Kluyveromyces lactis: one gene and its partner. The protein of the gene in region 1 purifies or fractionates together with the protein of each later gene. This does not show direct contact. Links are inferred from orthologs where the notes say so. Each region holds a gene or a part of one and is shown on either strand. Other genes may lie near its edges. The genes, in order: TOP1 and NSR1.

Region 1 (4,547 bases):
GAAGCCATCTGAGCGAACATACCCGGTTGTTGTGGTTGAGCTGTGTGTGGTGGATGCGAGTACGCATTAGGAGCTTGGTGCTGAGCTGGAGCTGGAGCAGCTACAGTAGATGCAGAACGAGTTTGCGGTCTTGAAACCGGTCTAGCAGAACCTCTTGAACGAGCCATTTTTTATGATTTGCTTATTGTGTTTTGTTTCTCCTCTAGAGTCAATATTTCGGTCCTGTCGGATACTGACGAATCGATCTTGGTTTATCTTCTATTCTTTCAACCGTTAATCACCGTTCGAAACCAAATCAGCGTTGGAAGGAATAATGTGAAGGATGGCGTTCCTTATATAGTCGGAATACATCACTATATACGGTTACGGAGATGTCGTTCTTATTTTTTTTATGGGGCGTGCCGGGCCCGCCAAAGGACGTGTATGGAGTATTCCCGAATTTACGGCGTTATCAGAAGGGAACGGTATAGAATAAACAAAGAAAGTCATGTATTTAGGAAGGACAAGGAGGTGAATAGCTAGTCATCTTTTTCATTGAAAGGAGATGGCTTAGATAGACGGTGTGGACGGAGCTTTGTAGTTCTCTTTCGTTCTGGAATATCCTTACGATATATTATTCATGTATTTATGCAATTTGCGGGTTGAAATTTTGAAAAACGGCACGTGAATTAATAATAAGAACAGATATATATATATATATATATATATATATGCTACGTTATGGTATATATACTACAAGGTTGTGAGTTTGTAAGTTGATGAAACCCCGTCTCAAAATGTCCAGTTTTCGTCAGCAGACTCGATAGCCCATCTGAATTTATCTCTCAAAGTCTTGGTAAACACTTTCTCGATTGGGACATCGAATTTCTTGCAAAACGCGACAGATAGTCTTGGATCGATATAATTTATCTTTGAAGTTCCTAATGCTACAGTGGAATTATCCTCTTTGTCCTTTAACTGAAGGGAACAATTTGTGATTCTTTTCTCCAGCTTTTCCACGTTTTGCTTAAGTTTTTCCAAGTTTTGTAAAGATTCTCTTAGTTCAATTTTTCCCGTAGTTGATTCTCTTTCATAAAGTTTTTCAAGGTCATCCACTTTAGCTAGCCACTCGAGCAATTGAGAGTCTGGAATCGGATCCTCTTTGCTGAACTTGCGTTTTTCATTTTCACGTTCGAACTTTCTTTTGTACTTTTCACGTTCCCTTTCAATGATGCGTTTATGAATTGTGAGTTCTTCCTCTTTCGTTAAATCATCGATCTCCTTGAAATAATTTTGGTTTTTCTTGCGTTCGCTCTTGTCTAACTGTAAGATAGCCCTCTTATAACGTACTTTTTGCCATTCTAGCTCTTCTATACGTTCAGTGGCCTTCTGCACAGAGCTGGCATGCCCTTTGGTGACAGTACGTTGATGATTACACAAGATGGCAACGGTTCTGTTTGCTGCGTTGTACCTCAAGATCTTTTCAGCGACAGTACCCTCATTTGGAATCAAATCTAGTTGATCCTGCATCGTTTTAGATGCGTTGTACGTACGGAAAACTTTTGCAGTCAATCCTGGCATATAATTCTGCAAGTGTTTGTTCAATATCGATGGATCTAGTCTGTCAAATAATTGATGGCCTGGTCCGCTTGGAGGCCTCTTGAATATCTTAAGGTTCTTGAAAACTTGTGCATCGACTTCAACTTCCTGGTAATACCTAATAGAATCCTTACCCAAGAAATCGAAAACAACTGTGTTTGGTGGTCTTAGGGTAACATGTTCATACCGTAGAGAACAACAACCCACTGTGTCAGCTTCATCATCAGCTTTTTCACCACCGGCTCTTAATGCAAACACATCAATCAAATACGTGGCTACAGCCATTTGTCTATCCAGGGTCTTAGGGCTCTTCATTTTGCTTTTGTAATCTGTGCGCACTTTATCTATGTGATCCTTCAACATTCTTGCCTTCTCGAATTTCTTGAAGTCACTCATTCCTTTCAACGTAGAGTTAGCAGCAAACCGTACGTATTTAAAAGAGTTAGAAATATTCTCTCGCCACATTGATAACCATTGTACCGTGTTATCATGCCTGATTTCACCCCATTTGTGACCCTTTGGAGGTTCTGGAATTGGTGCCTCTTTGTCGAGATTGAGTACAACATCCTCCGGATAAACACGCCTCTTTAATTTACCATTTTTTGGATGAGCACCACGGCCTCTGAAAAGACCAGGTGGTTCAATACGGAAATTACCTACTTGTTCCACCCTGCCATCGATTTCACAAAATTTATATGGTTTCTCCAGTTCTTCTTTTTCCAACCTAAGCTGCTTCTTTTCCTGTGGACTTAGTTGTTTCTTCTGTTCCTTTTGCACTTGGAAATACTCAAAAATTTTAGTGAAATCTAACTTCCCAAACTCCTTTATTTGCACTCCATTGCGTGCTCCTCCATTCTCTTTTAGCACTTGCAAGAAATCGTGCAAAAAGTTCTTCTGAAACGTTGGAATCTTGACATGGTCCGATTCCAATATAGCTGCAAAAAATCCAGCCACTTCTTCTGCTTGTGGTGGTAAATCTACTGGTTTCCCATTGTAGTATAACTTGACATGTGCTGGTAAGGGTTCGTATGTGGAAGGAAAAATGACACCATTATGTTTCAAGGTAGTCCATTTGATAGTGTCATCCTCTTTGTCGCCATTTTCCCACCATTTGAAATCTTCCGATGACTCCTTTAACTCTATGGAGGAAGCCCTTGCAGATGACTGAAATGGAGTCTCTGATGCAATATCCGCCAGATTCTTATCCTCATCATCCTCATTACTCACTTCTTCCTTCTTGATCTTTTTCGTTTTTTCTTTCTTCTCTTTACGTTCTTTCTTAACTTTTAACCTACCAGTTACCTTGCCGTTGCTGTCACCATTGCCATTGGTGTTCCTTAATACAGCATCTTCCTTCTCTTTCTTGAGCTTCTTTTGCTTCTTCTTTGCGGCATGGACGATTTCCTCATCCTCATCGCTATCATCTCCATCTGACAATTCTTTTTTCACACGCTTCAACTTCTTTTTAGTCTGTTTATCACCCTTAGAGACCCTCTTTAATACTACATCCTCATCATCTGATGAAGAATCATCTTTCAGAGTTATGCTCATATGGGAAATGAGCGTTTTCTTGACCTCCTATAGTAGTATTCAATCAAATCAAAATAAAAAGATCCCGAGCAAAACAAAAGGAATTTGCCAAATACTCCTTCAGATGGTGTGAAATAATTCAATCGACACTAATTCGATAGAAGTACTATATAGGGTTCTTTTTACCTGCCTATTCAAGTCTGTAGCGCTCTAAAATGGGCTATATCAAATTACTTTGGTTGTGGTCCGTCTTAACCTTAAATTTCTTATCGTAAATATAAAACAAAGGAAATTCTAAAGTAGATATATTACCGACACCAGTAATATAGAACTCTCTCGACCGTTTAGGATGTTTCTTTTTTATTAGTTTTCTTTAGGCGCTGATCAGGACAGTGCCTCTTCTCTTACTAAAAAATAGATCAGCTTTTTCTACCGAATGCTTGAAGATTTGATTTTTCAAGAATCCAAGACATTCAACAGATATTAACCTGTAAAGGGCAGAAGTGAAAATGAAAATAGAACAACCGTAAATTTTCAAAATTGCCCCCAAAAAAAAAAAAGTCTCACGTGATCTAATATTCGGGTAAGGTAATTATTTGCTTTTTCATTAGATACTTACTTAGGAAAATGTCCTTTTAAAGAAATAAGGGTTTTTGGCACTTACCGCATTGAGTGTTTTGTTATTGTTTACATTTTGTTCATTTCCGTTGTACAGATTTGGTTAATGTCGAAAAAAATTCAATAATGTAAATAGTCGGTTTTGTGTTTTCAAAGTTGACAAAACTAGTAATTTGTCGGTTTGAATAAATTTGAAGTTACAGTAAATTGCGGTAGCTCATTGTCATTGATATTACTATTTGGGTATCCTTGTATACTGGTTTGGCTTTTATATCAGCTTAAAAGTACTGGGTTTGGTATAATATACTATTATATTGGAAGGGAAAAAAGTCAGATTCTAATATTATACAGTCTTTCTTTACATACTTCCTAAGAGCATACTTGGCATAAGAGAGGGCGGGAACTCAGTCCTTTAATTGTTACCATCTTACCTGAGACGTATCAAGTGCTTATAACAAGGGTTCTTTTGATATTAGAAGCATTTTTTTACTGCGACTGCCATAATTCAGTTGAAAGTTCGATTATTCTTAGGAATACTTACATCACTGATATTAGTTTACAAACTTGCAGGTGAAAGGAAGACTTACAGTGAGCGGAAACATCATTTAACAGTCAGAATCTTGGTTGTTGTACTCATTCTGCTGTTGTTAACCTAAATCGCTTCAGTTTTTCAACGGTGCCAGTGCTTTGACGTCGTAGATTCATTTTTTTTGATCGAGAGCCACAAAACCGTTAATTGCAAGGTATTTATTGGACGGGCCAAGGAAATACACGCAAGAAAGAAATTAGTTACTGGAGGTTGATAAGTGTAGACTATTTAT
Region 2 (3,535 bases), about 450 kb from region 1:
AAATATCGATTATTACATACCTTTGGATACACCTCCACAATATTCGTAGCTAAAATTCTTCTTTTCAGTTTGTGTGTGCGTGTATGTGTGGCTCTCAAATTGTCCATATCTTTTGAGGTGGGTTACGACTGTCATACGAGTGTATTAAGGGATTCTGTAATGCAGTCAATTGTCTTGAAACTTGTCTTCTCTTTTTTCTACACCTTTAAAACAAGATTCAAAGATGAAGCTTAATTTTACAAAATGCACAGATTCGAGACTCTTTTCCATAGACCTTCTTCGCAGACTTCTAGTTCAAAAAATATTAAAAGCTACTATACACACATATACAAATGATTTAAAGAAAATAAAATAAGAAAATAGAAGATGAATGCGATTCAGTGAAGTTTACAATGAATCAGTTGTTGATCTATAGATACAAATAAGATGACGAATGGTTATTCTTGTGATTTAATTTTTTTTTATTTTTATTTTTTGACACTCTATTGTTTCAATGGATGAGAAATGATCTTCTTTATTCCCAAGAGCATGTTAGGATGATAATGAAAAGTGTTTTCGACTTTGAGGAATGAACTTTGTTTAACTCTTGTGTATTAAGTATTCAAAAATTCAATCGAAGGTCTTTTTGGTACCTTGGAAGGAAGCAGTTTGTCTGGTAGCTCCTAGAGGAGAAGCGTTAGAACCGGAACTGAATTCTCTACCTCCTCTGTTACCACCGAAGCCACCTCTACCGCCTCTGCTGCCGCCTCTACCGCCTCTTCCACCTCTGTCAGAACCACCTCTGTTAAAACCACCACGTTGGTTGTTGCCGAAGTTTTGCTTTGGAATGGAGTAGTCTAATCTGACTGGTCTGTTATTAATGTATTCACCTTGTAGACCTTCAAAGGCTTTAGTGGCATCTTCAATACTACCGTATTGAACGTAACCGAAACCCTTTGGTTGTTCAGTTTCTGGGTGAGTTGGGATACGAACAGAAACAATTTCACCATATTTACCAAAGATCTCGTACAAGTTGTCTCTGTCAGCTTCGAAAGACAAATTACCCAAGAACAAAGTGTCAGATGGTTCAGATGGAACGTCGCCGAACTTCTTTGCTCTGTCGTCTCTTGGAGCACCAGCTGGCTTCGAGGTAGACATATCACAGTTGATTGGTCTTCCGTCAATTTCCTTACCGTGCATTTCCTTGATAGCTTTTTCAGCGTAGGATTTGTCTTCAAAATCGACATAACCATAACCACGGGATCTGTCAGTACCTCTTTCGTACATAACTCTGGCACTAATGACACCACCGATTGGTTCAAATTCGGTCTTTAACCATTCATCGTCAATGGACCATGATAGTCTACCAACGAAAATAGTAGCTGGTTCACCAGCCAATTCAGTCTTTGGCTTTTTGCTTTCAGATTTCTCTTCGTCATCATCAGCCTTACGCTTGTTAGAGCTTTTTTCCTCTTCTTCATCGTCATCAGATGAAGAGTCAGAATCAGATGAAGAATCAGAATCAGATGAAGAAGCGGAAGATTCTTCCTTCTTCTTTTCCTCCTTCTTTTCTTCTTCTTCGTCAGAATCAGAGTCGGAGTCTGAGGAGGAGTCGGAAGAAGAGTCAGAATCGGAGGATTCTTCTTTCTTAGCTTCTTCCTTTTCAGATTCGGAATCAGAATCAGAAGAGGATTCGGAATCAGAGGAAGATTCTTCCTTCTTAGTTTCCTTCTTTGGTTCTTCTTCTTCGTCAGAAGAGTCAGAAGAGTCAGAAGAGGAAGAAGAATCGGAATCAGAAGAGGAATCAGAGCTAGAATCAGAGCTAGAATCAGAGCTAGAATCAGAGCTGGAATCGGAGCTAGATTCTGGTTCAACAGCCTTCACCTTCTTTTCATCTTGCTTCTTTTTTAGCTTTAGGTCCTTCTTGGAAACCTTCTTGGAAACCTTCTTGTCAGTTGATTTACCCATTATGTGAATTGTATGTTTGAGCGATGATATTATTCTGTACTCTGTTAATAGATAATCAACAAGACTCGATGCTACAAGAATTGCGTTTCAAAATAGCGTTATATCAATAAATGTTAGTTAATGAAGAAGTGTTACTGAGCAGGTATAACTTATCTTCTCTTATAACAAACTTCTTTTTCCAATGCGATGAGCTGAAGAGTACAGAGACAATAATTTTTCACTTAAATCGTTTCTTTTCCGTTTTTGTTTGGGTTTTTTTCACTGAAAAAACTTTTCATCACATTTTTTATTGAAAAGAAATTACCATGAAAATTCGTGATAATTTGGTGCGAGGTATGGGTTCTTTTAATTTCTGGCGCGCGACTGCGTTCTCTCCAAGGTTGTATTCCTCTGATCCGATGGCAGTTGATGAAATGTCAACTGTGAATAATCAGTGATGAATAGATGAAGAAAACCTACAAAGCAGATATTCATGACATATAGTTATTAAATTATAGTGAAAATGGTTTTAAATTACGAGAGAGTATTGATGTTAGTTTGTAATCTATTAAAAAGTACATAAAGGTATACGTCACAAAATACACTTTATAATTGTCCTCAATAATTTCTTAGTTCATTGCCCAATATACTTATAGAAAAAAACCGAGAGACTTTTATAATCGATAGTGCACCCACCTTGTGTTGAAAGAACATGGGAAAAAATATTTAGGGTCAAAGGATTTGCTTCCTTTAAGTAAAACAGGAGAAATAGAGATGCAGATATATCAGTGTTTAAATTAATGTTTGTGTCAAAATTGAAGGTAAGAATGAACTTGAAATGGTTAGTGTTGGGTTAGAGCTTTAAATACGATGAGATTGATGCCCGATAATAATTTCTCAATTGTATTTATTCTTCGCAATAAACTCAGAGTAGAGAGATTAATCCCAGAAATACTCCAAATATTGTTGAAGATCTTGCGTTTATGGAAGAAGCAACACCTTGAAATATTGAAATCGAAGAAACTGCTCCAAAGCTTACCGTAGAAGAACTTTGTTCTGTGTCTGTTTTTGGTGCTTGAGAGGTAAAAGATTCCAATGAAGGTTCCATAGGTTCCGTAGTTTCATTTGGTGCTGATGATGGTGAAGAGTTTGATGGTGAAGTTGAAGTTGTTAGATCAGTGACTGGAACAGTGACTGTACTTGTAACAGTCGTACAGCGTGTTCCATAACAGTTCTCTGATGTGATGGTAGTTTCTGAAAGTGGTGTGGAATAGATCTCTGTTGTTTCGGTGGTACCTGATTCAGTACTTGCCTCAACATTTGTTTCAATACTTGATTCAATAGTTGGTTCAGTAGTTTTAAATGAATCAGTTTTTATTTCTGATGTTGTAATTGTTTGGATTAACTCAGAAGTTGTGCTTTCAAGGACTGGAGTGTCACTTGTTACAGTATCTGCACATTCTTCACGATTGGAGCATACAATAGTCGTTTCAGTTGATATTTCCGTCTCAGTCGTAGAGATATCAGAAGTAATAATTGTGCTCAAGGTCGTTGGAATGGGGGTTGGAAGAGTAGTAGTTTCAGATTCAGTAATTTCAGTAGAAATGCT

What was found.
Region 2: the proteins of TOP1 (region 1) and NSR1 purify together in Saccharomyces cerevisiae (affinity purification with western blotting; 3 studies listed by BioGRID). This does not show direct contact. The link is inferred for Kluyveromyces lactis from reciprocal best matches to the Saccharomyces cerevisiae genes TOP1 and NSR1.

Annotation. Positions count from the first base shown.
Region 1 is NC_006039.1:535,753-540,299, forward strand, and holds TOP1 (DNA topoisomerase 1), read right to left. Parts: upstream 3,130-4,547; coding exon 772-3,129; downstream 1-771. Other genes in the region: MIX17 (Mix17p), read right to left, coding at 1-167.
Region 2 is NC_006039.1:990,223-993,757, forward strand, and holds NSR1 (Nsr1p), read right to left. Parts: upstream 1,948-3,535; coding exon 610-1,947; downstream 1-609. Other genes in the region: KLLA0_C11517g (gag-pol fusion protein), read right to left, coding at 2,852-3,535. UniProt on the Saccharomyces cerevisiae protein: Involved in pre-rRNA processing. Specifically binds nuclear localization sequences. Candidate for a receptor at the nucleus that may be involved in both RNA and protein transport. Binds telomeric sequences of the type (TG[1-3])n in vitro.